Linked DNA regions of Arabidopsis thaliana. The protein of the gene in region 3 interacts with the protein of the main gene of each other region in a biochemical or structural test. Each region holds a gene or a part of one and is shown on either strand. Other genes may lie near its edges. The genes, in order: CLV1, BAM1, CLV3 and BAM2.

Evidence for each region.
Region 1: the proteins of CLV3 (region 3) and CLV1 interact in a test that uses a peptide from one of them, tested with the Arabidopsis thaliana proteins (3 studies listed by BioGRID, with this or other methods).
Region 2: the proteins of CLV3 (region 3) and BAM1 interact in a test that uses a peptide from one of them, tested with the Arabidopsis thaliana proteins (one study listed by BioGRID).
Region 4: the proteins of CLV3 (region 3) and BAM2 interact in a test that uses a peptide from one of them, tested with the Arabidopsis thaliana proteins (one study listed by BioGRID).

Annotation. Positions count from the first base shown.
Region 1 is NC_003070.9:28,462,020-28,470,810, forward strand, and holds CLV1 (Leucine-rich receptor-like protein kinase family protein), read right to left. Parts: upstream 4,953-8,791; 5' UTR 4,634-4,952; coding exon 2,044-4,633; intron 1,965-2,043; coding exon 1,612-1,964; 3' UTR 1,325-1,611; downstream 1-1,324. Other genes in the region: AT1G75810 (uncharacterized protein), read left to right, coding at 1-105.
Region 2 is NC_003076.8:26,278,742-26,287,611, reverse strand, and holds BAM1 (Leucine-rich receptor-like protein kinase family protein), read right to left. Parts: upstream 5,902-8,870; 5' UTR 5,787-5,901; coding exon 3,188-5,786; intron 3,080-3,187; coding exon 2,667-3,079; 3' UTR 2,647-2,666; exon of another isoform or gene 2,521-2,646; 3' UTR 2,199-2,520; downstream 1-2,198. UniProt on the Arabidopsis thaliana protein: Necessary for male gametophyte development, as well as ovule specification and function. Involved in cell-cell communication process required during early anther development, and regulating cell division and differentiation to organize cell layers.
Region 3 is NC_003071.7:11,663,245-11,669,045, forward strand, and holds CLV3 (CLAVATA3), read right to left. Parts: upstream 2,554-5,801; 5' UTR 2,501-2,553; coding exon 2,434-2,500; exon of another isoform or gene 2,388-2,433; coding exon of another isoform or gene 2,333-2,387; coding exon 2,286-2,332; exon of another isoform or gene 2,227-2,285; coding exon of another isoform or gene 2,119-2,226; coding exon 1,942-2,118; 3' UTR 1,734-1,941; downstream 1-1,733. UniProt on the Arabidopsis thaliana protein: Extracellular signal that regulates meristem maintenance.
Region 4 is NC_003074.8:18,414,058-18,422,693, reverse strand, and holds BAM2 (Leucine-rich receptor-like protein kinase family protein), read right to left. Parts: upstream 5,127-8,636; 5' UTR 4,954-5,126; coding exon 2,367-4,953; intron 2,280-2,366; coding exon 1,858-2,279; 3' UTR 1,431-1,857; downstream 1-1,430. Other genes in the region: WDR5a (Transducin/WD40 repeat-like superfamily protein), read right to left, coding at 7,471-7,758, 8,339-8,636. UniProt on the Arabidopsis thaliana protein: Necessary for male gametophyte development, as well as ovule specification and function. Involved in cell-cell communication process required during early anther development, and regulating cell division and differentiation to organize cell layers.

The DNA.
Region 1 (8,791 bases), on a different chromosome or scaffold from region 3:
GCGATTTGTAAAGGAGGGATTTGCTGGCACGGCGTTGCGGTTCGGTCTCCGGCTTCACAGGTTCGATTTAGGCTTCCACAACATATACCTTACGGTGCTTTCTGAGTATATAAACTTCGAATTTTCCCTCTTTATTTTGACTTTTGTGAAGTAGATAACATGTGTTAGATATATACGTTTCTCATAGATTTTCTGTGTAATAGATGATGATGAGGAATAAGGTAATGGTGTTCTTCTTCTTGTAAGTTGGAAGGTTTTTGTTTGTATTGATATGTTGTAAAATCGGATAGTGATTGTGATGATTATAGATATGATGTTCTTGTTTTTAAAAGTAAAAATGGATTTTGAATTTAAGAGCTGCACTGTTATCCAAATTTGAATGTTGATACTCGAGTCTTACCACTGAATGAGGATTGTGGCATTGAGAATTTTGGGGGATTCTTAATGAAGAGACTAAAACAGAGTAATCTAAATAACATGTGTTCGGAGTTAAGGAATAAGGTAATGATGTTCTTCTTCGTGTAAGCTGGGAGGTTTTTGTTTGTATTGATATGTTGTAAAATCGGATAGTGATTATGATGATGATAGATGTTCTTGTTTTCTTTATACAATCGATTTTGAATTTTGAGAGCTGCAGTGTTGTTTAAATCTGAATGAAACTCAGGTCTTTCCAAGTTAATCAAGATTGTGGCCTTGAAAGTTTTGTGATTTAAATTGTATATGATTCTTAATGAAGAGACTAAAACAGAGTAATGAAGGATCTTGTTTCTCTACCTTAATGAATTTGTGACTAATTTGCCTTGTCTTCTTCTCACACCCGTTTATAAGTTGTGACTATGTGCCTTGTCTTCTTCTCTGAATTGCTCTATGAATGGAGGTAAGAGTTATGGATAGAATTAGCTTCACAGCATCATCCTCATCTTGTGGGAAAATGCACATTATAGAGGTTGAATTCTGTTGTTCATGAACTTTTAAAGCTTCTTGGTTGTTGATTTCTGTGAATTTTTCCGGTTTCTTAGTTTATGTGTGTTTTGCTTCAAGAGCAGAAACTACAATGTTATGACCCTGAGGTGATTTTCTTAGCTCGTAAAAATATGAGAAGTGAATGACCCCCAAGAACTCAATGAAACTGGTCATTATTCCAAATGCAGAGTACGAGTCCAATCTCTTAATCAACCATTAGTCTGTTGATTCCGTGTTTTTTTTTATCAGATGTGTTTCCTTTTTATTTTCCGAGCCATCTGCTGGTAAATACTTTGTAAGTAAGGTCAAGATTGCAACATGACACTGTCGGAAGCTAACACAAACCTGAATTTAGATATGACCCTAATTCACATATTCTAAACAGTCTAGACTTAAATCCAGAGGTCAAAGCTCTCACATTCTTTTATTTTATACACTCTGAACGGAGAATTAGCTAAAGTTTAAAGCCATCAAGCAATAAGCATATTGATTACATTACATACTCGAGATAATAACACATAAAGAGGTAATATACAAATTGAAACACAACAAATATACAAACCCGAAAGTATTAGAAACCATAAATAAGAACACCCAAAAAATGATCACCACATTTCGCATCTTATTTTCATATTTATCTTGCTTGGGTCAGAACGCGATCAAGTTCGCCACGGATTTAGGAGGGTTAGTGAGCATGTGCACAACTTCCCTCATCGTAGGCCTTGCCGCGGCTTCTTCCTCCACACACATCATTGCGATCTTGAACACATGAATCACACTTGTCAACGGGTAACCAGTCAACCTCGGGTCAACAATCGCAACAACAATAGCAGCATCCGATGGCTGAGTTATCTCCTCTTCCGTGTTCCTCACCCACCTAACTATATCCACTCCTTCTCCAAATTCACCAACAGGTTTCTTCCCAGCTATTAACTCCAACAAAACCACTCCGAAACTATACACATCACTCTTCTCGTCCACTTTCAAGGTATATGCATACTCTATGCAAACCAAAAACAAAATGATAATCAGAACATATATCATTTTGGTGAGTACTAATGTTGTTGACATGTAACTAACCTGGGGCGATGTATCCATAAGAGCCAGCAATTGAAGACATACACTCAGAAGCAGCACCATCAACTAAGAACTTAGCAAGCCCAAAATCAGCAACATGGGCTTCAAAATCAGAGTCCAAAAGAATGTTATTGGACTTAACATCTCTATGCAAGATCAATGGTGAACAATCATGGTGAAGATAACACAAGCCCTTTGCAGCTTCCACGGCTACTCTATGTCTCGTCTCCCATTGAAGATGACCACCTTTAGATCCATGCAAAAGCTCTCCAAGGCTTCCATTAGGCATGTACTCATAAAGAAGGAGATTCGTATCCTTGTTCGCTACGTAACCAAGAAGTCTCACTATGTGACGGTGGCGGATTCTCCCCAAAGTTTGAATCTCCGCCGTGAATCCATGATCGCTCCTCCCGGTCCCACGGCCAACGAGTCGTTTAATCGCGACGTCTACGTTGTTTGGCATTGATCCACGGTAGACAATTCCAGCTCCGCCTTTACCGATTATGTTCTCTTCTTTAAGACACTCGAGAACGTCTTCAGATTTGAAATCTAGTTTCTGGAAGGCGGTTAGTTTCCAGGCGAGAGATTTCTGGTTCTTCTTCTTATTCATCTGACGAATCGCTACACTGATTAGGATCAAACCGGTGATCGCTGCGATAACCGTGATTACGATCCTTGACGGTGAGAACAACGCCGTGTGATTGTGATCGGAGGTTTGTCCTGGCCGTGTTGGACAAGAGACACGGTGAGGGAGACAGAGGTAAGTGTTTCCGGCGAAGGAAGTTTCGTTGAACACCAAGAATTGACCACCGAGTGGTACTCTACCGGAGAGATCGTTGAAAGAGAGATCGAGAGTTGTTAAACTCGTCATGTTTCCGATTCCGGTAGGGATTGAACCGGTTAATTGATTACCGGAGATATTTAGAGTTCCTAAGTTTTTCACGTTGTTGATCCCTTTAGGGATTTCTCCGTTGATTCGGTTACGGCTGAGATCGACGGAGATTAAAGTTGAGCAGCGAGAGATTGAATCTGGAATACCGCCGGTGATGTTGTTCGCACTTGTGTTGATCCTCGATAAATGCTTCAATTCGAAGATTTCTCTCGGAATGTTGCCGCGAAATCGGTTCCGATCTAAGAATAGAGTCTGTAGATTGGGGAAATTACCAATCGCAGGTGGAATCTCGCCGGAAAACCAGTTGTTAGAGAGGTAAATCTGATCGAGAACATCGCCGGACATCGTTACCGGAAGTTCACCGGAGAAGAAATTATCAGTGAGTTCGATAATCGTAACTAACGGTAGATTGAAAAGCCCCGCCGGAACAGTGCCGTTGAGAAGATTCTTAACGATTCTGATTTTGGTTAAGGATTTGCATTTACCAAGCTCTTCTGGAATTGGACCAAAGAAGAAGTTGTTAGAGAGAATTAACATCTCTAATTTCTCACCTCTGCATAAGTCCTTGGGGATAAGTCCGGTGAGATGATTATCAGAGACATCAAGCTTTATTAGATTCCCGTTCCGGCCAAGATTCGCCGGTAATTGTAACGTGAAATTGTTCTCCCATACTTCGAAGACTTCGAGTTTTGGTAATTCTCCGATGGCCTCTGGTATTTGTCCGTAGAGATTGTTTCTGAAGAGATTGATTAGAGTAATGTTTCCGAGATTGATGAAGCTTTGAGGGATTTCTCCGGTTAACTGATTGATTGATAAATCGAGAGATTTCAAGCTGACTAAACCGGAAAGCTCCGGTGGTATATGACCGGTTAAGTTGTTGATGTGAAGAAACAGAGTATGTAGATGTTTCAGGTTACTTAAACTCGTCGGAATCTCTCCGGTGAGTGTACAGCTCGCCATGTCGAGGATCTCAAGCTTTGTTAAACCACCGAACTCCGGTGGAACACCACCGGTGTAGCTGTTGTAGTAGCCAATATACATTTCTCTTAAGTTCTTGAGGCGGGAAAGAAACGCCGGAGATTTACCGGAGAGTCCAGCTCCGTTGAGACCAAGATACTCTAAGCTTTGAATATCTCCATAACTCTCTGGAATCTCTCCGCTGAAGAAATTTCCACCGAAAGAGAGGTATTTAAGCTTCTTAAGCTCTGACATCTCCGGTGGTAACTTACCGTTGAAATTGTTGTTATAAGTGTCAAGAACTTCAAGATCAACCATAGCTTTTAAAATCTCTCCAGGGAATGTTCCAGTAAGGTTACCATTGTTGGAGATATTCAAAACCTTGAGAGAAGTTAGACTCTTCATCTCCAATGGTAATTCACCGGTGAAGTTGTTGGCAGCTAAAGTTAGATTCACCAAATGAGTCAACATCCCAATCTCTGGTGAGATTGTACCAAACAAAGGAGTGAAGGAGACGTTGAGAGAGATAACACGAGCATCGTCGTCACATGAGACGCCGGAGAAAGAACAGTGAGCATCCGGAGAAGATGAGTGAATCCAGTCGTGGAGACCGTGTCCTTTAGGACCAATCATGGAGGATTTGAGATTGAGAAGAACTTCCATGTCAGTGTAAGCGAAACATGGTGAGAAAAATAGATACAGATGCAGAAACAGAAGATGAGTCTTCAAAAGTCTCATCGCCATTTTTTTAGTGTCCTCTCAGTGAGAAAGAGCGAGAGAAAATAATAAGATAGCGTGAGTGTTATGCGATAGGACACAGAGACATGAACAATGGCATATTATGAAGAAGAAGATGAAGAGAATCGATGTGGTACTACTGTTCTAAATACCGTAAGACTTTGTGAGCGAATATATACTTTTATGTGACTTTACATAAATATTGTTATTATTAAAAATAATGCGCCAAAATACTTTTATGTGTTCATTTTTCAAATTATCTTGTAAATCTTGTTATGGTTACTGTCTTAAGTAGATTTATCATTTGTGAATAGAGAAATTTTACGAAAATAAAAGATAATTAAGGTACAATTGATCAGAGAACCATCTGCTGATCTTGCAGGTAGATAGATACAAACTATACGACTTATGGTCAAACACATACGTCTCAGTCTCTCATTGGCTATTTTTACATTCGATTCTTTTATAACGAGTGATCAATAATATTGCTGAGATTGTACTTTCAAATTTGGTCACACACTATTCAAACTCTAAAATCACTGGAATTACACTAGAAAGGCAGTTTTACTGGAGTCAAACTTTAGAGTTTTTAGTAGCCGCCACTACTACACTTATTAGACATGGAGAAACGGGAACGTCGTCGTTTTCTTCTTCTCTGATAAGTCTTCTGACACGATTTGTTTTGGCTTCATCAAACAAAAATCAATAGATAAGAGGTTCACGGCGTTTTAAATTTAACGGTGTAGAGATGCATCTCTTCTTTAACATTGACAGATCTTTATCTAAACGGCGTTGATCTGACCGTTATAAATGCTATAGACAGGACATAACGTTACGTTCCCTAGAGCCTGTGGTTTCTTCTTTCTTTCTTCTGTCGCCGTCTTGTCAACGGCACCAGTTATATAATCCGACGGCGTTTATAGCATCGTCGTCACGTGATGGGGAGAAAAGAGGAATAAGAAGACAAGGAGAGAAGTAAATGGGCTTTAATTAGAAGTAGGGCCTATTTTTCTAATTGGCCCGTATAGAAAGTCTGTCTGTGTCCTTTTCCTAAAGAGACAAATTTGCCCCTTGTGGTTTTTTTGGCTTTAACTTCCAAGTCAACGCTCTTTCTTGTATTTTGTCTTCTCACTTCTCGTTCATTCATACACTCCACTCACCGGTCTGTCACCATACAGACCTTCTGCTTCAAGGTCCCCACGCTCTATGTTCATATTTTACCTTTGTTTCGTTCGTGTGACTCTCTTGAAAACATTAGGGATTTATTCACTTCGGTCCATTTAAGATTTGATCGTGATTAGTCCAAAGTCCAAACCGATCAAATTAATAGCAACTGCCGATACCAAATTATATTCGTTTTGTAATCGGTGATTCAGAAAAAAGTTCAATGTATATAAATTCGTTCGTAGTGTTGATATTAGGACAAATCACTAGTTTGAAACTAAAGATACTAAAAACTATTTAATGTTTGAAGTTTTAGGTTTAGTTGTTAATACTTTTGGCTGAAAACGTGTCAATTTTGTTGTTAATGATGGCAAAACGAATAGCAAAATATTCCTAATGAATTAGGCCGAATGATATGATTAATATGCTTAACTTACATAAGTGAATCTTTCTTAATTATAAGTAAGCACCTTAAAGCAGTTTTTACAAGATCGATTCTGCCACAATCAAAATCGATTCTATCAACAATCTAACAATAAAATAATAATAGTTGTGAATTAATGGTCTGCCGTTATACAAGCACTATGGTTCTTGGCGAATATATCTTCATCCCGCTAACAATTTTTTTAGTTTGATAGAAAAATATATCAGGTGCTTTAGCAACAAAAAGGGATTTTAATCTTTAAAGAAATCTATACACTTGGGGTTGACATACACTTGGGGACCAATGTTCTATTATTATTGCGGTATATTGGTATAAAGGTCCTTCCTAAATGGCAGCGAATTTCTCATATTAATAATCTTTTGTGCATTCTCTTTTAGATATTATCTTATGATATACATTAGATTAAGAAGTAAACGCTGAAAAATATGCATACTTAGCAACAAATAAATGTGCTTTTTTCTCGTGTCTATTTGGTTTAACTTAAGTGGATTGAGAATCAGATCAACAGGTACAAGTGCAACCTTTAAAACAATGAGATGTCAATTAGTGATGAAGAAGAGAGCATCTCTTATGTGATTCGCTGAAAATGCTCTAACTCAATGAACTTTGGGAATAAAGGTTTAGGTTCTCTTCAGCAGAAAAGGAGCTCTTTTTAGTAAGTGGGAAATTTTATTATTGTAAAAAAGAATCTCTAAACTTTGGATTATTTTCTGATGTAAATAGTATAATATACATATAGGAGAATAATATAACGACATATAGCAACGATGGAAAATTTATCACCAAAAATCATGTCATCTTTATCACTAAATGACTCAAGGGTGAAAGAACTTTGGACCAATTTCTAGATGGATATCAATAAATTTGTTGAAATTAAATTATACGAAAGGGAATTAAACTGTAGAAGCTTGGTTCACATGTTTGATTTTCACAAAAATGTTTCGATTTGAACTTGCCATAGTACAATTTGCAACATATGCTTCTTTTACTCTGTTGTTTGCGTTATAATAAAATCGTCTCAAAATATTTAAAAATCATATGCAATTTGATTTAAGAATAAATTTGGAACTGTTTAGAAAGTTAGGTACCCAATTCATATACTTATTAAATACAATAAATAAATCATAAAGTTTTATATACAGATGCACCAATTGTTTATAGATTATCTGTATACACAATTACACACTCTACTAATCAATGTACTTTAGCATAGAATAATACTTTTACTTCTACTAAGCTTGTTTCACTAATTATAATGTTTAGTTAGAGATAAAACCATTGAAAAATCTCAAAAAGTAATAATCAATATAAACAAATAGAGAGAGCAATGATAATAATAAGATATATAGGTCATAGTCTTGTCAATCATGTTAATGATAAAAACGACAAGGCTACAAAAGTAGTAGTAGAAGTAGAAGAAGAAGATGATGATAGTGAAGACAAACTTGTGTCATAAGTGGTCTTACACAAATCCGTCTTGGAAACTGGTGTTTGCCTAATGGCCCTGCTGGGCTTTTGCTTCAGTCATTACCGAATCCTCTTGTATTGGCAGCTTTAATCCCAAATCTATTCAACTCATGCAATGATTTTGGACGAAGAAACTTCTCAATCCCAAATGACCCTTACTTCACCTTTCACTTTTTGTTCCATCGTAAAGATTTGAAACTTTTTAGATCTTATGAAAAGGCACCACATCTTCATCAAGTATTTTCTTTAAAATGTAGGGGAAAAAAAAATCTAGTTCTTTTGTTCATAGTCAACCTGGACCAGTAGGTCGTTGGGCCTTGGGTCTTCAGTCACGTCGGCAATCAACATTCACTTACCCATTTGAAACATTGGATCAGCGTGACCAATGCCAACCCATTAATCTAAATGGTTTAAACAATCAAGCGTGCAAGGATAAATGCATTGGACTTGAGAGAACAAGATATGGAATTTGAAATGTTGCCTTACCAGTTAACAAGTGTCTCTGTTTCCTCCCAAGTTAATGTACCAAAACTCTTTGGTGCTTAATTGTGGGGGCTTTTATAATATTGGGTACATTTTGGGCCATAAATTAGAGAAAGAGCACATTATGATTGAGTTTATGAAGATAGGCAGTTTTTGGGAAATAAATTGACGAAATTGCCCCTGCGATTTCACTCATTCTCCTAAATTGTTTTTGCAGAATCTTTTCCTGAATTGTTTTTGCAGAGCCTCATATTGGATCGATTCCTAACTTGTTTCAATGGATGATGTATTAAGTACAGAGATTGATTATCCTATTTCTCTACTTAATCAATGTTTCTTTCTACAAGACAATATATACACAAAAGATGTATTTACGGAAACAAAATCGATAGAGACAAAAATTAGAAAATCTGTTAATAACATTTCATCACCATCCAATTCAGATAAACCCCAATAAAATCAGTTAAAAGCTTTTTGATGGAAGAAAGCTAACCCCTAAGAAAATATTATATAACGAACCCAAATATACTAATCTTAAATAATTGGAATCGATTAAAATTTTCAATTATTTCTTATCCCTCTTTGAAATTGAAGAAAGAGAGGAT
Region 2 (8,870 bases), on a different chromosome or scaffold from region 3:
TTTTCAAAAATGTATGTCAACAAATAGAAAAAGTGGCACTTAACCAATTGTCTCTTCTTCTTTTTGTCCTTTCAGTGTCACCTCACTATTATTACTTTCTAAATTTAACCATTATTAATCTCTGATGATAATTCTCTGGTTACAAGAATATACATTTACAAATTTACAATCATCTCCTGCTTTCTTCTTTAAGAAAAAAAGAGTACTGCAATCATCATAATATACAAGTACATCATTACTCGTGAAACTATAAAACTCAAAAGTGATTTTGTTTACGTCGATGAGCATTTACGAAACAAAGCGAATCTCTACCTAGCTAGCACCACGTTACGATATCATCGTATATGACATATAATTTTCTCACACACATTTTCTTGACATACGACGGTCTCATATGTCACGGACGTTCATCCATGAATCAAATTCATATACTAACTATTTACGTCCTTTATTTTACTTAGTTCAGTCATATGTCACGGATAAACAAACGGTCATTCTTGATGTCCCCAAGAGCATTCCAACTCCATTACATATATATATGTAAACACTATAAAATTTAAACGGAATGAGTAAGATTTGGGCCAACACAAGTCACTAGTACGTGAATCATAGTAAAAGGTAGAGCCACTATAATCATCTTACATAATTAGCTAGACACTTTCGTATATTATATAGTGTTAGTGATAGCAGGTACGAATATTAATTAGGGTTTTTGTGTTTTTCTTCTTATGATGACCAGCAACTAATTATACCTAATCACCTACACTAAATTCTGAAATCTTTTAAGAAAATTGAGCGGCTAATACCAAATGTATACAAACTGCATTTCACATATCAGATCAATTGATAAATTTAAATTTCTAAATTTTGTTATTGTAATTTACCTTGGTGTAAGGATTCTCTTTAGCAACTACGAGGGATGGGACATAACTATGTCGGGGAAAACAATGAAGGCCAAGATAAAGACAAAACGGACCCATTCAAAACACAGTGCACTCCTTCTTCTTTCTACGTGTCTCTGTCACATCACAATCATAAATTCCACGTGGCATTTTCACCCCTAAAACTTACCAATTAAAATGTTTGGATTGATATTTATATGTGCTACATAACTGATAGGTCTATAGCATAGACACAGAGTAAATTGAGTTAGAAAATTGGAGTAGTCTAATTTTCAGTGCTTATGAGTTGTCACAGACGAAAATTCTTTGAGATAAAAAAAGTTTCTAATTAATAGCTTTCTTTTGTCCGGAAATTACGCATAATGTGAGAATATAAAGCTGATATGAAATGACATTAACTATTGTTTTTCCTGAGTCTTTTACCTTTATGATCCATCGAACATGAATATCCCATGGACGCACAGTGAAATGGAAAATAGTTGTTGTATATGTGATGAAATCGTGAACACACACGCAATTGATGTGTGCATCAAGGAAATTACAAAAACACTTTTTGTTTGTTTGTGAAATAAACGTTACGTTTATGAAAAAGATAAAATTGCAGTATCACTCGTCAAATTCTTGCTTGGAGTATAGTAATGAAAGAATCATAAACATAGCAACGGAATTTGCTAAGTGGATGACACTTTTTGGAAATGTCACTAACTTAGTGAGTGAACTAAATCACATTTTAGTGCAATATGTTATCATAGAGTTACGTGAGAATCCCTATCAAAGCTAACACTTAGCCCATGATCTAGTTAGGCTGTTATCTCCAAAATGTGAACAAACACGAAGATAGCTACAATTTTGTTTGTTTGGTCCAATTTTCTCATTAAAACCTAGACTTAGATCTACAATCATCATTGGAAACTACGTACAGCCAAATGAAAACCATATTAATGTAAGTTGGGTGTGGCTTATATTTATGAGTGATCGATGAAATCATAAATGCTTTACATAGAGTAGAAATTGCTTCATGAGCAGGGAATAGAGAAGAGATCTCATCAAAATCATTAAAGACTTAAAGACTTTGGTATATATTTTGCATGTGGGAGAAATATCACCTTATAGGCTTCTCATATTAACTCAAAACCAATCATTATCTCCCCACCACATTTATACCTTTGACCTCTCACATGCTTCCTCTTTAATTATTCTTCCAAGTTAACATTTTCACCAAACGCAAACGCAACCACAACTTTAACCGCTCTCAAACATCTTGTTGATGGAGATCAAATATAATTTCTGTTTGATGAAATTTCTTTCAGGTTATTGCAGGTGTTAGTAGCTACATTTGAATCTTTGTAACAAAGTCAAATACCTAAAAACAATAAAGAAGGTGATCGTTCATATCAGTTGCAGATGCGTGACTCTATAGCAAGACATGCAAGAGTGTTCACATTACACATTTCACTCTTTTCAAGATATTTTGAAATTCCTTCAAAAAAAAACCAACTGTACATTTTCATTAACACAAATTACAAACTAAATAAAGCCGAATACCGATTAAAAACATAAAAAAGGAAAATGAAACACACTTAAAAAGAGTTTAAACAACCTTCTTTCAAAAAAAAACCTACTAAACCGGACCAAAGCACAAACCGTACTAAGAGGGATTAAAGTAAATTAACAACCAAATCTCATCGCTAATAACATTTATGAAAAGACAAATTTACCCCTTATACCGGTACCCTAAATTAACCGCCGTGAATCAGAAAACTCTCATAGATTGAGTAGATCCGGCGGACTTTGAACACCAGACTTCGGCGAAAGCTCACTCTCCGGCGCTGATTCCGTCATCGGCTGATCCTTCGACGGTGGCAACTTCGGGATCTCAGTGAGAATCTGAACAACTTCTCTCATAGTCGGCCTCTCAACAGCTTGTTCTTCTACACAGAGCATCGCTACATAGAAGACGTGCGTCACTTCATGAATCGGAATCGAAGAAAGTCTCGGATCCAATACTTTCAGAACCGAATCCTTGTTCGAATCAGTCATTTTACGAACCCATTGCACTATATCGACACCGTCTCCAAATTCTCCGACAGGTTTTCTTCCGGTGACGAGTTCCAAAAGAACCACACCGAAACTATACACATCGCTCTTCTCATCTACCTTCAACGTATACGCATACTCTACACAAACACCAAAACAGAGCAAAAGATAGTAAAGTTAGAAACTTTAAAGAGAAAAACAGAGCAAGAGATTGTAAAGTTAGAAACTTTTTTTGAAGATTTTAGTACCTGGAGCTATGTAGCCGTAAGAGCCAGCGATTGCAGACATACATTCAGAAGTACCGGAATCTTGAAGGAATTTAGCGAGACCAAAGTCAGCAACATGAGCTTCAAAGTTTGAATCAAGGAGGATGTTGTTTGATTTGACATCTCTGTGAACGATCAATGGAGAACAATCGTGATGAAGGTAACAGAGTCCTTTAGCAGCTTCAAGAGCAATCTTGTAACGTGTGTCCCAATGCAAGTGTCCTCCTTTCTTACCGTGAAGCACCTCACCGAGACTACCATTAGGCATGTACTCATAGACAAGTAGATTCGTCTCGTGGTTTGAGCAAAATCCGAGAAGCCTCACTATGTGTCTGTGTCTTATCCTTCCTAAGGTTTGAATCTCTGCGTTGAAGCCGTGATCATGGGAAGATCCACGAGACATTGCAGCGAGTCTTTTAACCGCGACTAGATCACCATTAGGCATTACGCCTTTATAGACAATACCAGCTCCTCCTTTGCCTATAATGTTGTCTTCTTTGAGAGAATCCAAGACATCGTCACACGTGAAGTCTAGTCTCTGGAAAGCTGTTAACCTCCAAGCCCGTGACTCACTCGCCTTTTTCAATGATCTAGCTTTGATTATGGCTACTACCGCGAACGCAATCGAACAAACAAGTAGTCCAAGAACAAGCAATAACTTCATAGAAGCTGATAAAGGTCCTTTACTATGACTCTGGTGACCTCCTTTAGCAACACCGTCTTTACAAGGACCAAGATAAGGACCACAGAGATCAGGATTACCCAAGAACGATGTGTAGTTGAAGTAACTGAATTGTCCTGTTCCCGGAACTAAACCGGAGAGGTTGTTGTAAGAGAAATCAAGAGATGTTAAGCTCTGCATTGACGAGATTGAACCAGGGATTGATCCAACCAGATGGTTTCTCGACAGGTTCAAGTAATTCAATATCTTCATAGCAGTGATCTCATTTGGGATTTCACCGGAGAGCTCGTTTCTGCTCAGATCAACAAACGTTAAGAGCTTGCAACGACTAATCTCCGGCGCGATTCGACCGGAGAACAAGTTGTGGCTGAAATCAATCTTCGAGAGCTGCTGAAGCTTCCCTACCTCTGAAGGAATAGGACCTTGGAACTTGTTTCCATCAAGAAGAAGTTTCTGAACGCCGGTGAAGTTCCCGATCGCCGGAGGTAATGGACCTGAGAGCTGGTTGTTTGATAAACTGATCTGACCAAGATTAACAGAGACACCTCCGGCGACTGGTAACTCTCCGGAGAGATAATTATCTTGGAGCTCCACTTGAGTTAATTTGGGTAATCCGAATAGTCCTTTTGGGATTGACCCGTTCAGGAAATTCTCACCCATTCGGATCCGGGTCAAAGACTCACATTTACCAAGAGAATCAGGGATTGAACCAAAGAGAAAGTTTCCAAGAGTGATTAAAGTTTCTAACTTGTTACCGGAGCACATGTTCGGCGGTAAAGTTCCGGTCAGCTTATTGGAAGAGAGATCGACGAGATTTAGTTTACCGTTTTCTCCTAATTTCTGCGGGATGCTTCCGGTGAAATTGTTCTCCCAAAGCTGTAACACTTCAAGCTCCGGCAAATCTCCGATGAACTCCGGTATCTCGCCGTGAAGTTTGTTACGGAAGAGATTCAAAAGCGTGAGATTCTTCAACTCTGCGAAACTCGCTGGAATCTCTCCGGTGAACATGTTGTTAGACAAATCCATTGATTTTAAACTCGATAGCGTTCCTAGCTCCCAAGTTAATGGACCGGAGAAGACATTCACTTGCAAGAAAAGCGTATCGAGTTTCTGAAGCTTCCCAATCTCCGGCGGAATCTCACCGGTTAATCCGCAATTAGCTCCGTCGAATCTGACTAGCTCCGATAGATTTCCGATCTCTGGAGGAAGACCGTCTTCGAAAGCGTTGTAGTAGCCGATGTAAAGCTCCCGGAGAGTCGTTAGGTTTCCGATCTCTGGAGGGATTTTCCCGACAAGCTCGTTGCCGGAAACCGCTAGATACTCAATAACTGGCCAGCTTCCGTACGAAGGCGGGATCTTTCCAGCGAAGTAGTTACCACCGAGGTGAAGGTGCCGGAGCTGAGTCAGATTGGTGACGGAAACCGGTAAATCTCCGGTTAGATTGTTGTTGTAGACATCAAGAACTCGGAGATTCACCAATCCAGAAGAAATCTCATCGGGAAACGAACCGTTGAAGACATTGTTCGAGAGATTTAAGTGACGAAGACCGGAAAGGCTCGAGATTTCCGGCGGAATCGGACCGGAGATTAGATTTTCAGCGAGTGATAGATTCTGAAGAAGACGTAAATGAGAAACATCTGGGGAAAGAGTACCGGAGAGGTTGAGACCGGAGAGATCAAGAGAAGTCACGTGACGGCGAGATACATCGCACGTGACACCAATCCATGTACAGAAGCTTGTTGAGACTTTCCAGGAAGAGAGAGGCGAGTTTTTGTCATCTCCGGCGCCGGTGAGAGAGGTTTTGAGTGAGAGGAGAGCACGGAACTCGGAGATTGGTCGGCTTGCGGTGAAGGTATGAGAAATGTGGAGAAGAAAAAGAAGGAGAAGAAAAAGTTTCATTGTTTCTCTCTATCTCTCTTGTGTGGGAGAGATTAGGGTTGTGAGATGGTGTGAGTGTAGAGAGAAGGTAAGTGAAGACGAAGAAGAAGATGAGGAAGGTGTGAATTTGTTTTATATTCGTTCCACTTGTTTTTGGAATTGTATATAGGTGCCACGTCAGATTTGTGATTTTATTACATTACTAATCATAACACTAAAAAGTAATTGGAGGTAGACAAACACAAATTACAAAATCAATAATACTAGTGCTGATTTGATAAAACAATCAAGTGATAGATTGCAGAAGAAACGATATTTGATAAAACAGTAAAAATAGCCTGATACTAACATTTGAAATTCAAACATTTGCAGATAATTCTGATTCCAACACATCATATGCTTTGACGAAATGAATATTGTATTATTTAGAACTTTGTACGATGGAGAATATACTATTATTAGGGAAAGGTTCATTTATTTTGTTTTGGAGTCATGTTGTTCTTGAAACATTTGAATGGTGATGTTCTCAAGTATTGACAAATTTCCTTTAATTTCTCATTTCATATGACCACAATATACATTTTCTAAATAATCATGTGTAATGTACTAATAAATAGAGTAATTTTTGTTTTATTTTGAGAGACACAGGATAATTGTATGAGCATCCAACAAAATAAATGTAGAAAGATTAACTAAAATCCCTCAAAAGATACAAGAGGTCATATTCTTAATCGTATGGTTTTATCGGAAAACGACAAAAGCTAAAAAGATCGTTATTGGTAATCTAATCCTATACGTAATAAGTTAATTGATGCTTTAAAGCGAAAAAACCCAATAATTAATGTAGATGAACGGTCCAGATGCAATCATTCCAATGGATAGTCAAAAAGTTTACCACTGTGGAACCCACTCTTTAAAAGAGAGGTTTATGGTAATTGGGCCGTATGAATTGGGCCCATGTGTCTGTAAATAAAATAGTGAATTATTATGTTTTTTTTGTACTTGTGCCTTTTTGCATTAACAATGCCACAATGGGGTCGTATTTATTTGATTTGGTCGATATATCAAAGAAAAAAATCAAATGAATTAATTTCACTTTCCAATATATATATACGAATCCAGACGACATATAAAAAATTCATTTCTGGAAACATAATAATATTTCTAATACAAAAACCAGCAAAATCTGTTGAGAAGAGCAAAATATAAAAGTTAGAAAAGCAACATGAAAGTAAAAAAATATTTAGACTTCCTTCTTTTTGTATAGTGTGAATTGACTTTAATTAATAAAAAAAAGTGAAAAAGAAAATTAAAAGAGATTGAAAATGATTGATAATTATTAGAAAAAGTTATAATTTTGCTGGTGGTAGGAAATTAACCGAAAGTTTTGGTCAAATATTTATTTTGACTGAATACATTCTTGACCATGGAACATCTACGTAATTACATCTTTTACCACTAAGGAGCTCTTTGGACTTGAATGGACTGCTCGTTCGGTTGCTATGAATTGACCAAATCAGCCTTCGAGTCCAAACCAGAGATTGTCGGTTTTGGGATAAGTATCGAAAAGACGAAAACACCCTCTAGCTCGTTGTTATTAATGCAGCCGTCTGGACAGAGGAGACTGGGGGCATGATCGTAATCGTGTGTCCAGCTAACGAGGTTTCTTTGCCGGTTGCTACAGTTCACTGTCACTGATCTATCTATAATCATTTCTGCATTCTCGTTTCATCTATAAGTATTTGTATATATGTAAATATTAAAATACTAGTCACAAATTTATATGAATTTAACCATACAATTGTTTTGTAATCTTCTTTTTAGACTTTGATAGGGAGAATAATCAACCTTCTTAAGCAAAATATCATACTCAAACAATGTATTTTTATTAGATAAATTCAAATAAATTTCGAAAAATTATTGAGCAAGAATTATTGACAATCTGATTTGGTAAGCACGTGTGAAGGGAGCTTTATGTAAGAAACTTTAAGAAAGATGTGGGAAGTAGGTGCTTAATGAGATTCGTTTATTTGATTTTACACTTCTTTCTTACTCTCTTCTCTATTTCTAACCCTTTTTCATTTTTTTAAAAAGTGTCTTGAAAACTCAAATTTAAGTAAATAGAAAAATAGATTGAGATGAAGGATAATGAGATAACATTGGGTTAAGAGTTAAAATAGAGAAGAATCCAAAGCCAAAAGCAAAGTTGTTTAACGATGGAATCACGTTGTATCCATTACCAAGTTTCTTTTTGTTTTGTTTATTCTCTAACCGCATCGTCTCGTGCTGTGTTCCTTTCTGTCTCCTTAAATGCACATCTCTATAAGGATTCTTATTACCAACACACAATCTTGATTCAAATCTCTTTACTCACCAAAAAGATAACTATGATTAGTAATACGTATATGAATGGAATGATTATACCATATCTTTTTTCTTTCGAACCAAGATTAAACGGAAGAATAATAAAGCTCAACAACCATAGTTGATTTTAGTACATTTAGGAATTTGAAAGTTAACTATTATTTATGGAAAGACTGAAGCACAAAGTTAAGAATTAGGCAGTGATATGTTTTGCTTGTTTTGAAATCATGTAATAATAGAGAGAACATGTTGCGAAAGCGACGCTTGATGAAGCAAAAAAAACCAAGACAAAGGTCTTAACAAAGTCATCTTTTTTCCTTTGGTTTGAAAAAAAAAAGTTGCTTCAATTTTCTAGTGGTTCATTTGAAAGGTGAAACACGACCCAATAAAAGTGAAAATGGGACCATAAACATGTCATCTTCACATCACCACTCTGTTTCTGAGTCCGACCATCACGGACATAAAACATGGTCCAACTAATTTGATACAGTCAGTTCCCATAACTTATCTCTCTCTACGAGTTACTCTTACTATGTATGATCACTTTTTAAAACACTTTCAATACTTGCGAAACTGTATTTTAAATATTGGGAAAACAGAGAGAATTAGAGAGGAAACATGTTCTGAACATTATATTTATTACCACTCGTAAGTCACTTTCCATTTGCAGGATTTACTTATACCTAATGGTGTCAGATTGAGTTTGTGTCTCTTTTACAACAGTATCGCACCTTCTACATC
Region 3 (5,801 bases):
CCAAAAATCCGAGCGTTCATTTGGTTTCAGGTAGGTATATTACCCAAACGGATTATAAATTATTATTTTTTGGGTCTCAGATTAGTTAAGTTAGAATCTAAATTCCGAGAAGATACTCAAAAAAATCCAAAACCAAATATATACCCATAAAACCCGAAACACTATATATACAGTACATGATTATTTTGAGTTCTTTTTTGGGATTTGTTTTTCCTAGTACTTTGGATTTGAAACCTGAACTGAAAAATATTTTGGTCCCACGTTGGGTTTCACATAAATTTTGATAACAGGTCTGAACCCAAATAGGAATCGTACTGATCCAATAAGATATTCATTTGGTCCCCCAACCCAAAAACCCAAAACTCCTAATTAGTCGACGTAAACTAACCAGAAAATTCGAATGCCTAAGCCTATCCATATTATCTGATCAATTACTAACTACAATGGTAATCTAAATTAAATTAAAATAATATTCCCCCTCTGTTCCTTTTTGTTTGATTGTTTAGAAAAAAAATTTGTTTTTAAAAGATTAATTTTTTTAGTTTTCTATGTAATCTTTATTGGTTAGTATAGGTGAATGGTAATTTTTTAAAAAAATAGTTAATTATCATTGGTTTAAAGTTATAGAAAACTGTAAAACATTAAAAATAATACATTTATAATCAATATTTAATATGTTTTCTTAATATGTGTGTTTTTTCTAAACAATCAAACAAAAATGAACAGAGAGAGTAGTAATAACTACAATGTTGATTACTTTGGTATACATGTTTAATATTTTTAATTTCAATGTTAATGCTTAATAATAAATATAAAATAACATTGTATATATCTTGGTCTTATGTTCTTATAGCATTGTTTTAGAATATATATAAACACACTTTATTTTCTTTAAAATAGCTGGTTTTCTACTTTCTAAATTAGTTTTCGTGAAAAAAAAATACGAAATATGTATTTGAAGATATATGTCATACGATTCCAAAGCAAGTTAGATATATCATATATTAGGTCAAAAAGTCTTGGGATGACATTGGAGGAACGAAAGAAATTATAAGAACATTTAATGGTTTTGATAACAATTTTATAATGTTCATCCATTTAGTAAGATATATTTGAATTTGGCAAGAAAAAATACACTTAAAATTATACTTAGAATTAATGGATAAAGCCGTAAGCGTTATTTGAGGTGGGAAAAGTGGTGACGTGAGCGAAATCGCCAGTGTCACATCTCAAGTGTCAGTCTTTACTCTTTTTAAAACAAATATCGTATCATATAGATTTGGTATCATTAAGGATAATAATTAGCTCTAGGTTTGTTATTACGCCATCACCAATTTTTTTATATTATTAAAATATCTTTTCAAGTATGTGTGTCGTTTTGATACTCCTCCACCATTCAATTTGCAACCTTCGATAGAAATAGTGACTACAAATGGTTGTCTTTGACACTGACACTGCCTGTCACTGCCCCAAAGTCGGTTTAATTTATCCTTCCCACCACATCATCGAATCATCATCATCATTTTTATTATTGTATGTTTAATTGTGACTATCACATCCATTAATTATTTGCATTGACAATTGAAAACGTACTAATAAATTTTCCCAACGGTACATTGCTTTGGAGATATACTTGTGTCTTTATTTTGCATTTTATACGTAAAAACCATAAATTTTAACGTATTATATGGAAATAGAAACGTAATGCTATAGACATCTTCGTTTTAAGAGGGTTTTCTTAGAAAATCATGAGATATAATAGTGCGTATCTTACATTCACTTCAGCAACAAACGTAATGCATATCTTACATTCACTTTCATGAAACTACAAGCTTACCAAACGAAACAGATTGCACACAAAAAAGACTCCCGAAATGGTAAAACCGATAAAGCAGAAAGTAATTTACAATATGAAATAATTTAAAGCAACAAGAGATTAGGTCAAGGGAGCTGAAAGTTGTTTCTTGGCTGTCTTGGTGGGTTCACATGATGGTGCAACGGGTCAGGTCCCGAAGGAACAGTCCTTAACTCTTCATGTAGTCCTAAACCCTTCGTCTTTGCCTTCTCTGCTTCTCCATTTGCTCCAACCCATTCACTTTCCATTTTCATCATCATCATCTGCCAATTGAACAACATTTTACTATGTTTTGCACACCATAATAATATATACAAATATTTCTCGTGACAACTAAAGCAATGAAACAGTTGTTGAACTGGACCGGACATCTACATGAACATAACACATGAATATTGAGAGGCCTTAATGAGTACAAGTTGAAGATAACCTTGCGGTTGGAAAGTCCTTGAACGTGAGCATGAGCTTGAGTGAGATCTGGTGAAATAGTAAATAACAAAAAAAAGTTATGTTGAGACTTATAAGAATCCATTTACATGAGTTATAGACATATAGAGGAGTGAAAGAGAGAGTGAGACCAGAAGCATCATGAAGGAACAAGAAGCAGAAGAGTAGTAGTAGTAGCAGAAAACTCTTCGAATCCATTTTTAGAGAGAAAGTGACTGAGTGAGAGAGATAAAGAGAGAAATATAGAAACTGTTCTTTACTTTGGTAATGAAATGAGAAGGGGACAGTCCAATTTATAGCGTAAGCCTACAAGGGCGAGAAATGGGATCTCCTATTTTTTAATTTTATTTGTCCTAAACGTGTATCATAGTTATTAACTATTCAAATATTTTGGTTGGTTTATATATTATGTGTAGTAAGTATATATAGTGGGCATAGAAAAGGTATATGGTACATATATCTAGATCTTATACGAACTTGTTCATGATTTAGCTATAAATAAATTAAATATCTAACATTTACTTACAATTGTGTATTTTTCACTTACTTGCAGTTTTTGTTTCCTTTAACTTATTTAAATTAGCCACTGGAATCAATATTCAAAGTTGTATAAAACGGCAGGGGTATAATTAGACTCAAAGTTCTGGTTCAGTTATAATTAATTCCTAAGTCTAACATGCTGTGGAGGTTCACAACTAATACATATGAAAAATACCGTACACATTGACTAGGTATACCATATATAGGTTACTATAATACAACAGTATGTATACGGCACCGGCACATACTCTAATATATCAATGGTGTTTCTATATTACTACCCATATTTAAAATTCCATTTAAATACATATATAGTTTAGACTTCTTTTTAATAAATATAATTTCATGTATTTAGATTTCTTCTAAGAAATGTGTGAAATAATATTAAACATATAATATTTGTGTATTTAGAAAAAAAAATGTAACCAACAAGAAATTAAACTAAGCTTGTGTCACAATAATAAATAGCATCTAAATATGAGAAGGTAAAAAAAACAAAAACAATATGGATTAAATTGTTTCCAGATTTGTAGAAAAAGAAAAGAGATTCTGATTTGAAAACTTTTAAAGTAAAGTATTACAGTTGCTCTTATAAATTATATTGTTTAATCTGGAAACAGTTATATGCTTAAATTATATTGAACAATATGGATGATACCTTAATCGGATAATATTATTGAGAGTATCAAATCAATGGCAAATCTATTTGCTAGCAGAAAAAACATAAATTGAATGGATTATATGAGCCTTGCCGGCGCCGTATCGAGGGTACCATCGGCTGATGTCATGAGGCAGAGAGAATGATACCTGGAGTACACTTCTGACACGTGCCCATCCGATGGCATCAGATCACAGCCGTCCGATCATACGATATTATATCTCAATTATCTATTCTTTTAAGTTTTAACAGTTTTCAGATTCCGTTTTGCTTCGTTACTCTTTTGGGCCAATAAGGTGCCACTACTTTTTAACTAAATTTTATTTTTTTGCTAACAACTAATTTACTGATTTACCACCAATTATAATAATACCATGGACATAAGTTTTTACTTTTTTTTTGGTAGTACAAAAATGATATTCTTATGTGTTAATGTACTTAGAAAATGTATCTAGTTTTGTTTTTATTATGGATAATCCGGAATTCGATTAATTTTATGGATATGAATATCAAGAACAATTTTAAAGACATTCGGACCAAAAAGATTGAATTCAACACCACCATACTGCTAAAGATCTGCATCAACTCCAAGTCCACGAATTTATTAGGTCTTTTTTTGGCCAACAATTTATTAGATCAGAAGACAATCAAAATTATTGTAAACTTACTGGTAAGTATTATATTAAATTATTACTCATGTCTATTTTTCGTTGGCCAACAATATATTTATTGATGTCGTCGAATCGTTACCGATACAGTGATGTCAAAGAAAGATGAAACAGCCTGGAAAATGCAATGAGAGGGAAGAGAGTAGTAACCAGAAAAGACGAGTGTAACGTTAAGCGACAAGAGACTGATTGATGAATTCATAAAGGTCAATTCTAAGTTTTAAATATTATTACGTTCATTGGTTATATGTCTAATTAACCTACTTGAGTTGAGAGCTGCACACAAAAAGTGTAAACTATGTAAAAAAGGAGGTAAGATTCTGCAGCATATAATATATATCAACTAGTTTGTTAATTATATAAACCAATAAGAAAAAAGTTGCAATCCAAAATCCAAATCTTTTGACTTCTTTCTACTGCCATATCGATCAGGTTTCTTTATTTAATTCTTCCATGTGATTAATATAGCTTATGATTTTAGGCCTTCATTATACCGGAACCGAAAATATGCAATTTAGTTGGAAAGAAAGATTTAAATTTACAATAGTAGATATTTTTGTCGTTAACTGTTAAACTGTTAGAGTCTTAATACATTTCATAATATCATCGTAATTTATGCGAGTGTAATAGTAAATGAATTTTATAGAGTTGGAACCAAAAAAATCTTATTGATCAACAAATACAAAAAAAAATCGTAGAATTCTTTGAAATTTAAGGACAAGTTTCACGTCAATAATGAGCACCATTACTTGCACACTTTCATTTCTCCCACATGTACATGCACATCTAAGAGTTTTGTTATTAGAAACTTTAAAACTGAAGCACCTAACATATGAGTGTGTTCGAAAAAACTGGCATCAATAGTTTTGATATTTGGAGGAGAATATAGAGTGTTAATGTAGTTTGTGGATGAAAAAAGTAAATAAAAGAAAAAGATATACCAATGAAGGATTATCATAATTGTATGGTAAACGAACCCTAGCTAGAGTTGAAGCTTATGTATTACCGAGCGAGAATTTAGTATCTCACATCTTCATGAACTTTTATCAATGCATAGCCAAATGCAATGAGCTAACAAACATATGATGGAGCAAGCGTCACAATTCAAAGCAAAAATTTAATCATTTTTTCGAGCTATTTTTTTTGTTCTTATAAATAAGCCATTTGACTTTCTTCTCAAACTAATCTACTTAAATATTTTATTTGAAATCTAAAATTTGTATGATAGTATAAGATTTTAGCTGAGTTTATTTTCCTTACTTCTCCTTATGAGAAGTTTAATCGCCACCCTCACCATAGATCAACTTCATGTGGCATCCTAAAAAGAGCAAGCATATATTAGAAAAATTAAGCTAAAAAAGCAATTTAAAACTTTGAAAATCTACGGTTGGATTAAGCACGCACTAGTGTGGAATTGCAGCATTAGGGTGCATTAGGGTGATGCTTTGATAACCATCTTCAAAGTAGCAGTGTGCCTTCACTAGATTCGCGTGGTCAGTATAGTGAGCCCACATACTATTCAATTAATCTTTTGGTGACAATCGATTCAATTTCTGAAGAAACTAAAATTTACTCTAAAGACCAAAAACAAAAAAACGAAAACCATTTTAAAAACTACAAACATTCAAGGTCT
Region 4 (8,636 bases), on a different chromosome or scaffold from region 3:
CTTTCTCTCTGTGGTTTCGTTTTTGCTCCTTTGCCCTAACAGCTTATTTGTACTTTTGTTTGTCAACTACTTAAATAACCAAAAAGACAACACGTGTTTGATAAGTAAGTTTGTGTTATTAAGAAAAACTGAGCCTAGCCCAACACAAATATGGATCTATAGCCCAACATGGACAAGTGTACAAGACAATGATAGCTCTCTATAGCCAAATATATTTTGGTACTCTTTGGATTGTTGTTGCTCTTGTTTGATTTCCTTGATTTCGAAACGACTGTGCAGAATGATTTTCTCACAATTGGAGTGACATAAGTACTGTGTCGATAAACCAATGAAGAGCTGAAGAAAGAAACAAACGTTACAATTCAAACACAAAAGTACATACTCTAGTTTCTGACACCAGACTGATTCTTTTTGTTCGTCCCTTTATCTAACCTTCGTTTAAGTAGATGGAGTTGTTATGGGCCTCGGCCCGAAAGTTCAACTACATGACTATGTTAGAACTTAGAAGTTTGAGATGAAGAAAGAATCTCAATATATAAAATATATCTTTGGATGATTTAAATTGAATTCAATTGTTAGTCATCTAATGGCTATTCGTAATCTGGTAGTTTCACCCGATAAGTGTATATATGAAGCTAGAGAATGGAACATGCCATTTCCCATCTCTTAATTAGAATCTTGGCCTCTGAAAAACATTAATTACCACTTTAATCCATCTTCAAGTCTTTCTAGTTTCTTGATAACTAACTCCTGACTTATTAATTCTAGAGTTAGGCACTCCTTAATTAGGTTTACAAGATCATCAATGTACATTCGAACGTAAGAAATTTTGAACATAATACATCTAAAATATCATAACTAATATTCTTATTGTTCTTTATATCTTTCTTATCTCAATATAATAGTCATGGTTATCGAAGAAAGTACTAGATACCAAGGATAGCAACAACACCTAAAGTCTAAAGATTTTTTGATATTGATGAGTCAAAATCAAAGTTGAATATATGGCTTGTAATTAATGAGAGGGAGATGTCATAAATGCTTCGTCTAAAATTAGATTTTTGCTTCAAGACAAGGGAATAGAGTGGAAAAAAGATCTTAGGACCATCTGAATTCATTAAGACACTAGTGTCACACTACCCATACATTTGCAATAATTGGACAAATTGTGAGTGAGCTTTCACTTTCTCTCTTCTCAGCGTTACTCATCTTCAGTCCCACACAAACACATTCATACCTTGGTTTCACCCTCTCTGTGTTTTTTTCACATGGAATGTCTTGTTGTGACACAACAGCTACCACAACCAGATACAATCCAAAAGGGTAAAAGCAAAGGTGAGAATAAAATATGTAATGTAACAACTCATAAGCAAGATTCCAGCATAATGGAGACACTAGTTTCATTTTAAGACAACGAAAACTCTAAAAAATTAGTTTTTGCTTGAGTATGAAACTAAATGAAGTTCTTAAGAATATAAGGGGCAAAAGTGTTTTTTGGTCTAACACAATTGACATACTTGAACCGGGGGCAGATTGATCATATACATAACTGCATGTATATATATGCTGATATGCATAAGCCATAATGTTCTCGAAATTCGATTTCCTGAAATTAACCACTTATCATGCAAAATTCAACCGCAATGTACATATTCAAAATTCCTACACGAATAATTGTGGCAGCAGTGAAAAAAGAAATGCAACAACCTTAAGAGTTAAACCACTAATTGTTGCCTTAACCGGAACCAGACAACAACGGGCTAATTAAGTAATTAACTCCACTACCGAGACGTCGGTGACAAGAAAATTAGAAAGACAAATTTGCCCCTCAATGACCAAACCCAATCGCCGGAAAGTCTAATTACTTAAAAGATCCGGTGGACTTCCTGAATCCGGCGACGATTCATTAATCGCCGGAGCTTTCTCAGTCACGTCTGATTCCGCCGCTTGCTGCTTCGAAAGAGGAATTTTTGGGATCTCAGTGAGAATCTGAACGACTTCACGCATCGTCGGCCTCTCCACCGCTTGTTCTTCAACGCAGAGCAACGCAACGTAGAAGACGTGTGTTACCTCGTGAACTGGAACTGAAGAGAGTCTAAGATCGATTACTTTGAGCACACAATCTTTATTTGAATCCGTCATGCTTCTCACCCATTGAACAATATCAACGCCGTCGCCAAATTCTCCGACGGGTTTTTTCCCGGTGATGAGTTCTAGAAGAACAACACCGAAACTATACACATCGCTCTTCTCATCTACCTTCAATGTATACGCGTACTCTGCTCAACAAGGAACAAACAAGTTCAGAGATTTTACATTTCACCACCAAGTGTTTGATTAAATGCCATTTTCTGCAAATTTGTTACCTGGAGCTATGTAGCCGTAGGAGCCGGCAATTGCGGACATACATTCAGAAGTACCGGAATCTTGGAGGAACTTGGCGAGACCAAAGTCGGCGACATGAGCTTCGAAGTTGGAATCGAGGAGGATGTTGTTGGATTTAACATCTCTATGGACGATCAACGGGGAACAATCATGGTGGAGATAGCAAAGACCCTTGGCTGCTTCAAGAGCTATCTTATAACGTGTGTTCCAATGTAAATGACCTCCTTTCTTTCCATGAAGAACCTCTCCAAGGCTACCATTAGGCATGTACTCGTACACAAGGAGATTCGTTTCGTGGTTGGAGCAAAAACCGAGCAGTCTCACGATGTGTCTGTGTCTGATTCTACCTAGCGTCTGAATCTCGGCGTTGAACCCGTGATCGTGGGAAGATCCATGGGACATTGTAGCCAATCGTTTGACCGCGACTAGGTCGCCTTTAGGCATAGTGCCTTTGTAGACAATCCCAGCACCGCCTTTACCGATGATGTTGTCTTCCTTGAGAGAGTCCAAGACATCGTCACAAGTGAAGTCTAGCCTCTGGAAAGCAGTCAATCTCCATGCCTTGGCTTCACTCGCATTTCGCAAGGACCGAGCTTTGATTATGGCCACTATAGCAAACACCATCGAACAAAAGAGCAATCCAAGGACGAGTAACAGTTTCGTAGTAGCAGATAAAGGTTTGACATGAGACTGGTGAGTTCCTTTGCCGCAAGGACCCAAATACGGACCACAAAGATGAGAGTTACCCACAAACGATGTGTAATTGAAGTAACTAAACTGTCCAGTGCTGGGAACTAAACCGGAGAGATTGTTGTAAGAGAAATCAACCGATGTCAAACTCTGCATTGATGCTATCGTCACAGGTATGGAACCAACGAGATGGTTTCTTGAAAGATTCAAGTAATTCAAGATCTTCATACCTGTGAGTTCATTAGGAATATCACCTGAGAGCTCATTACGGCTAAGATCAACAAACGTTAGCAGCTTACAACGACTGATCTCCGGTGCGATCCGACCGGAGAACAGATTGTGGCTAAAATCCAACTTAGATAGCTGCTGAAGCCTCCCAATCTCGGGAGGAATCGAACCAGAGAACTTGTTACCATCAAGAAGTAGTTTTTGAACACCGGACAAGTTTCCAATAGCTGCAGGTAATGAACCAGAGAGCTGGTTATTAGAAAGACTAATCTGACCAAGGTCACCAGAGACTCCTCCTCCGCTTATTGGCAACTCTCCGGTAAGGTAATTGTCTTGGAGCTCCACTTGAGATAATTTAGGTAACCCGAAGAGCTCCTTTGGAATCGACCCGTTAAGGAAATTCTCACCCATCCGGATCCGGGTCAGAGACTCACATTTACCAAGCGAATCCGGTATTGAACCAAACAAGAAGTTGCCAAGAGTGATTAACGTCATTAACCGGTTACCAGAACACATATTCGGCGGCAGAGTTCCGGTGAGTTTGTTCGAAGAGAGATCAAGAATCACTAATCTACCATTTTCCCCCAATTTCTGAGGAATACTACCAGTGAAATTGTTCTCCCAAAGCTGCAACACTTCAAGCTCCGGCATTTCACCGATGAACTCAGGTATAGCACCGTAGAGCTTATTCCTGAAGAGATTCAAAAGCGTTAAGTTCTTCAGCTGTGAAAAACTCGTCGGAATCTCGCCGGTAAACATATTGTTAGACAGATCCATCGATTTCAAGCTTGAAATCAATCCCAGCTCTTGAGTTATTGTCCCTGTAAATGCGTTTACTTGAAGAAACAACGTATCTAGCTTCTGAAGCTTCCCAATCTCCGGTGGAATCTCTCCGGTTAAACCACAATTAGCAGCGTCGAACCGAACAAGCTCTGATAAATTTCCAATCTCCGGTGGAAGACCATTTTCAAAAGCGTTGTAATATCCGATGTAAAGTTCACGAAGAGTCGTTAGGTTTCCGATCTCCGGAGGGATTTTACCGGTTAGCTCGTTACCGGAAACCGCTAAGTATTCGAGAACAGGCCAGGTTCCGTACGTCGCCGGGATTTTGCCGGAGAAGTAATTCCCACCGAGGTGAAGATGACGGAGCTGAGTGAGATTAGTGAGTGAAACCGGTAAATCTCCGGTTAAATTGTTGTTGTATAAGTCAAGAACACGGAGATTCACCAATCCAGAGGAGAGTTCATCGGGAAATGAACCGTTGAAGACATTATTGGAGAGATTGAGGTGACGAAGCTCATAGAGATTGGAGATTTGCGGCGGAATAGGACCTGAGATCTGATTAGCAGCGAGTGATAGATTCTGTAGCAGAGGTAAATGAGCTACGTCGGAGGAGAGAGTTCCGGAGAGGTTAAGACCTGAGAGGTCGAGAGAGGTCACGTGACGGAGAGAGACGTCGCACGTGACACCGGTCCATGAACAGAAAGTTGTTGAAAGGTTCCATGAGGTCAGGAGAGGTGAGTGTTCGTCGATGGTGAAGGAGGATTTGAGTGAGAGAAGAGCGTGGAGCTCGGTGATTGGTTTAGCGACGGTGAAGGAATGAGAAATGTGGAGGAGAAGGAGGAGGAGGAGGAGAAGAAGAAGCTTCATTTTTTTTTTGTTTTTTTTCTTCTCTTTCTGTGTAAGTTAGGGTTTGGTTTTAAAAAGGGTGAGAGTAAGTGAGGAAGATGAAGATTGTGTGTGTGTTTTTTATGAGTTTTATTTGTATATTGTAAAAGTATTATTTTTATTTTATTTTGGAATTTACTTGGAGGGAGATTTTTAAGAAACTTTGATTTCACATAAATTTTCTGAAAATAGAAAACACAAATTAAAAACTTGAAAAGTCGTTTATTTAACATATATAGAAACATATGCATGTGGTGGATTTAATGAAACATGGAATTAGAAAGGAAGGGATTCAAAAACGATAATTACATGAAGAAAATGTTAATTAATTTGGAGCCTTGTTGTTTTGAAACGTGATGTTACCTAATCTTGACAAAATCCAACACTTTATTACACAGGTATACAAGTGTAATAATGCAATACCAAAGCGAACCATAAATTCAAAAAGATGTTTTAAAGATAAACCCCATAATGAATTAATTGATGATGTTGAAATGAACGGTCCTGATGTTATAATTCGACGGGAAAAGATGGAGTCCACCACTGGGGATTCACAAACTTACCAAAACTTATTGAGACACCCGCTTCTTTAACCTCTCTTAAGCAAAACGAAACACTTAATTAACCAAAGAACCCCTTAAAAAGCTTTGTAATAACATTTCTATCCTTAGGACGGACCACAACAACAAGCCCCAAGGCAATGGCATGATCGACAAAACCCAGAGAGCCGGTCTCTGTACTCTGATCGACTGATAATGACGAGAACAACCTTGAGATGACGCACGGCAACAGTTAAGATCCTCGAGAGATGGGTAGGGATACGATCGTACTTTTGATTAGTGGAAGTAAGTCAGTTAAACACAGTCCTATGTGCATCATTTTCATCTTTTGCCAGTTACCACAGTTCACTGATCAACAATAATGGTTTCCCGACATGTATTTTATTTTATTTATACTGATTTTTTATTATCTCACAAAATTATCCAATTTGATTTTGTAAGAAAGTAGGATTTCGAATCATTTGCTTCTTTTGCCAGTTACCACAGTTCACTGATCAACAATAATGGTTTGCTCAGTGAACAAACATATTAGTTTTTTTTTTTTTAATCTTGTATTAAATATGGAATCAAAATGCAAAAGAAAAAAATGAATTTTTAATGATATAGATCTAAAGAAATACTGAATGTCAAAATTTTGAAAGCAGATTTTTAGTCACATGATTAGGGAAATATGTAGCCACTAGAATAAGTCGTACTCGTATTAGGTGAATTTTTGTTTTCTTCTTTATGGACCCGGATCAATAGAATAAGTTTTCATCTGCAACGCACTTTCTTGCACTAAATAATAAACTTATATTAGTGAAAAATTTATAATAATGAAAACATTTCTTGTTTAATGGTTTACTTCGAATGATAAGAATTGGTAAGCACGTGTTAGGAAATGTATACTTTTTTGGGGAAAATGTCGAAGATATACTTTTGGATGGGTGTGTGTGTATTGCAGATTCGTTTGTTGAAGCTTGATTTCGTATTTGGTACCAAATCGAATATATTTAACCTGACTAATAGATTATTATGATAGCACTAAACCTAACAATTATTGTTTGCTACTACAATCATAAAGAATTCAATTTATACTCTTTTTGAGAGTTTTTATGTTTAATCTTATTAGCATATCTCGAGAACTTTTACACAAAAGAACCAAAGCTGAATTTTGGTCTTTGTATCAATTGGGAGAGACACAAACATGACTGAGTCTTTAGGAACTGTTGCTTTCTCTTGAATCATGTAAACAGAAAGACACGCTGTAAAAGCAAACAGCCCACTGGTGTGTAGCTAAAAGACAGAACAAAGGTCACAAAGTCATCTTTTTGTTAAAAAATTTTGGTTTCGAAATTGAAAACAAAAAAAGAGAGAGTGGGTTCAAATTTTCAAGTGGTCCATTTCAAAATCTTGTAGGGTTTAAAAAAAAGAAGACTTTACGATAAAAGTGAAAATGAAAAGTAAAAAATGGGACAGGACCAGGGGACCATAAGCTTCATCATCATGGCCAACCAAAGTAACCAACTACCATACATTATCTACTTATAGTCATATATCTGTACTTTGACCCATGAGCCACCCATCAATATGGTTCAGATGAACAATTTTCAATCCTGAAACTACTTTATAACCAATAGTATTGGTGAAGCATTGCATCAGCTTAATAGATACAATGAGTAAAGGGTAAACCTATGAAGATTTGTGTTCATTCTCTCAAATGCCTTTGCACTTGCAGGAGTCTTTGCCTTAAGACCTACCTAAATAGTTCTGAGTCACACAGAGAACTATTACAAGTTTAGAACAGTCTGTTGCACTTCCCTTACACCAAACAAAAATTAGACTTTTACATAATGAGGCTAGAATCAATCTAACAAGCTTAGTAAGCAACAGATGATTACTGCATGAAGAAGGTGGCATGTACCTACATGTTTGATTTCTGAAGAGAGAGAGTGATGATTTATTCTTTCTTCTGTGTCCAAATCCTTACTGTCTTGTCGAGCGAGCCTGATGCGATCAAGTTCTCTGTCGGGTGGCATGCTACGTTCATGACGGTCTCAGTATGACCCTCAAGTTTCTGTAGCAGTTTCTTGGAGTTTAGCTCCCACATGTGTACACAGTTGTCCTCGGATCCACTGACTATTCGCTTTCCATTTGTGACGGAGAACGCAGAGGAAATGCAATACTGTGCGTTCACGTGGCCAGTGTATGTTTTGAGGAACTTAGCAGACGAAATGTTCCACAACCTCTGCAAATTTATAACGAATCATGAGAATTCCTTTATTCAACAATACCCTATAGACGCAAACACCAAAAGAAGATGTATCTTACAACCCTCTAAATACGACCCTTCAAAAGTGTTGAATCTCGATCAATAACAGAACTGTTCCAAAGCTATCAACTTTTCCTTAACTAGATAACAATTTTTGCAAAAATAGCTTTGGATTGGCTTCTCCTACATCAAACTTCTATTAACACACAACCTAGAATCTAAGTTCATGGAGAGATGAGTGCATTAATAACGAATCATAAGAATTTAATTTCCTAATGCAAATTAATCAAACTCCAAACGACGATGTATCTTCGAAGCTACAACCCTCTAGATACGACCCTTCGAAACTCTTGAATATCAACCAACAACAGAACTATACTTAAAGCTAACAACTTCTCTGTAAACTTAGTTTTGAATTGGCTTCTCCTACATCAAACTTCTACTAACACACTCTACCCAAAATCTTCATGCTTTTTTTCGAGATCACTATAGAGCAAAACTAGTAATCACACTAAAAACATCAAATCTTTGAAAGGAATTCAACAAGTGAACTCACCAGCGTGTTATCAAGTGTACCAACGAGGATAAACTTGCCATTAGGAGAGAATCTAACAAACGAAACAGGAGGATTCTCATCATCAATCAGAGTTTTCACACAATGACCAGTCCCAGAATCCCATATACGACACAACCCATCATAGCTACTCGAAACAATGAGAGACCCATCTCTATTAAAATCAACAGCAGTAACAGGATCAGAATGCGCGGGAAGAACTTTCAAACACTTTCCAGTAGTGACATCCCAGATCCGAACAGTTTCATCAAACGAACCAGATACAATCATATTTGATTGA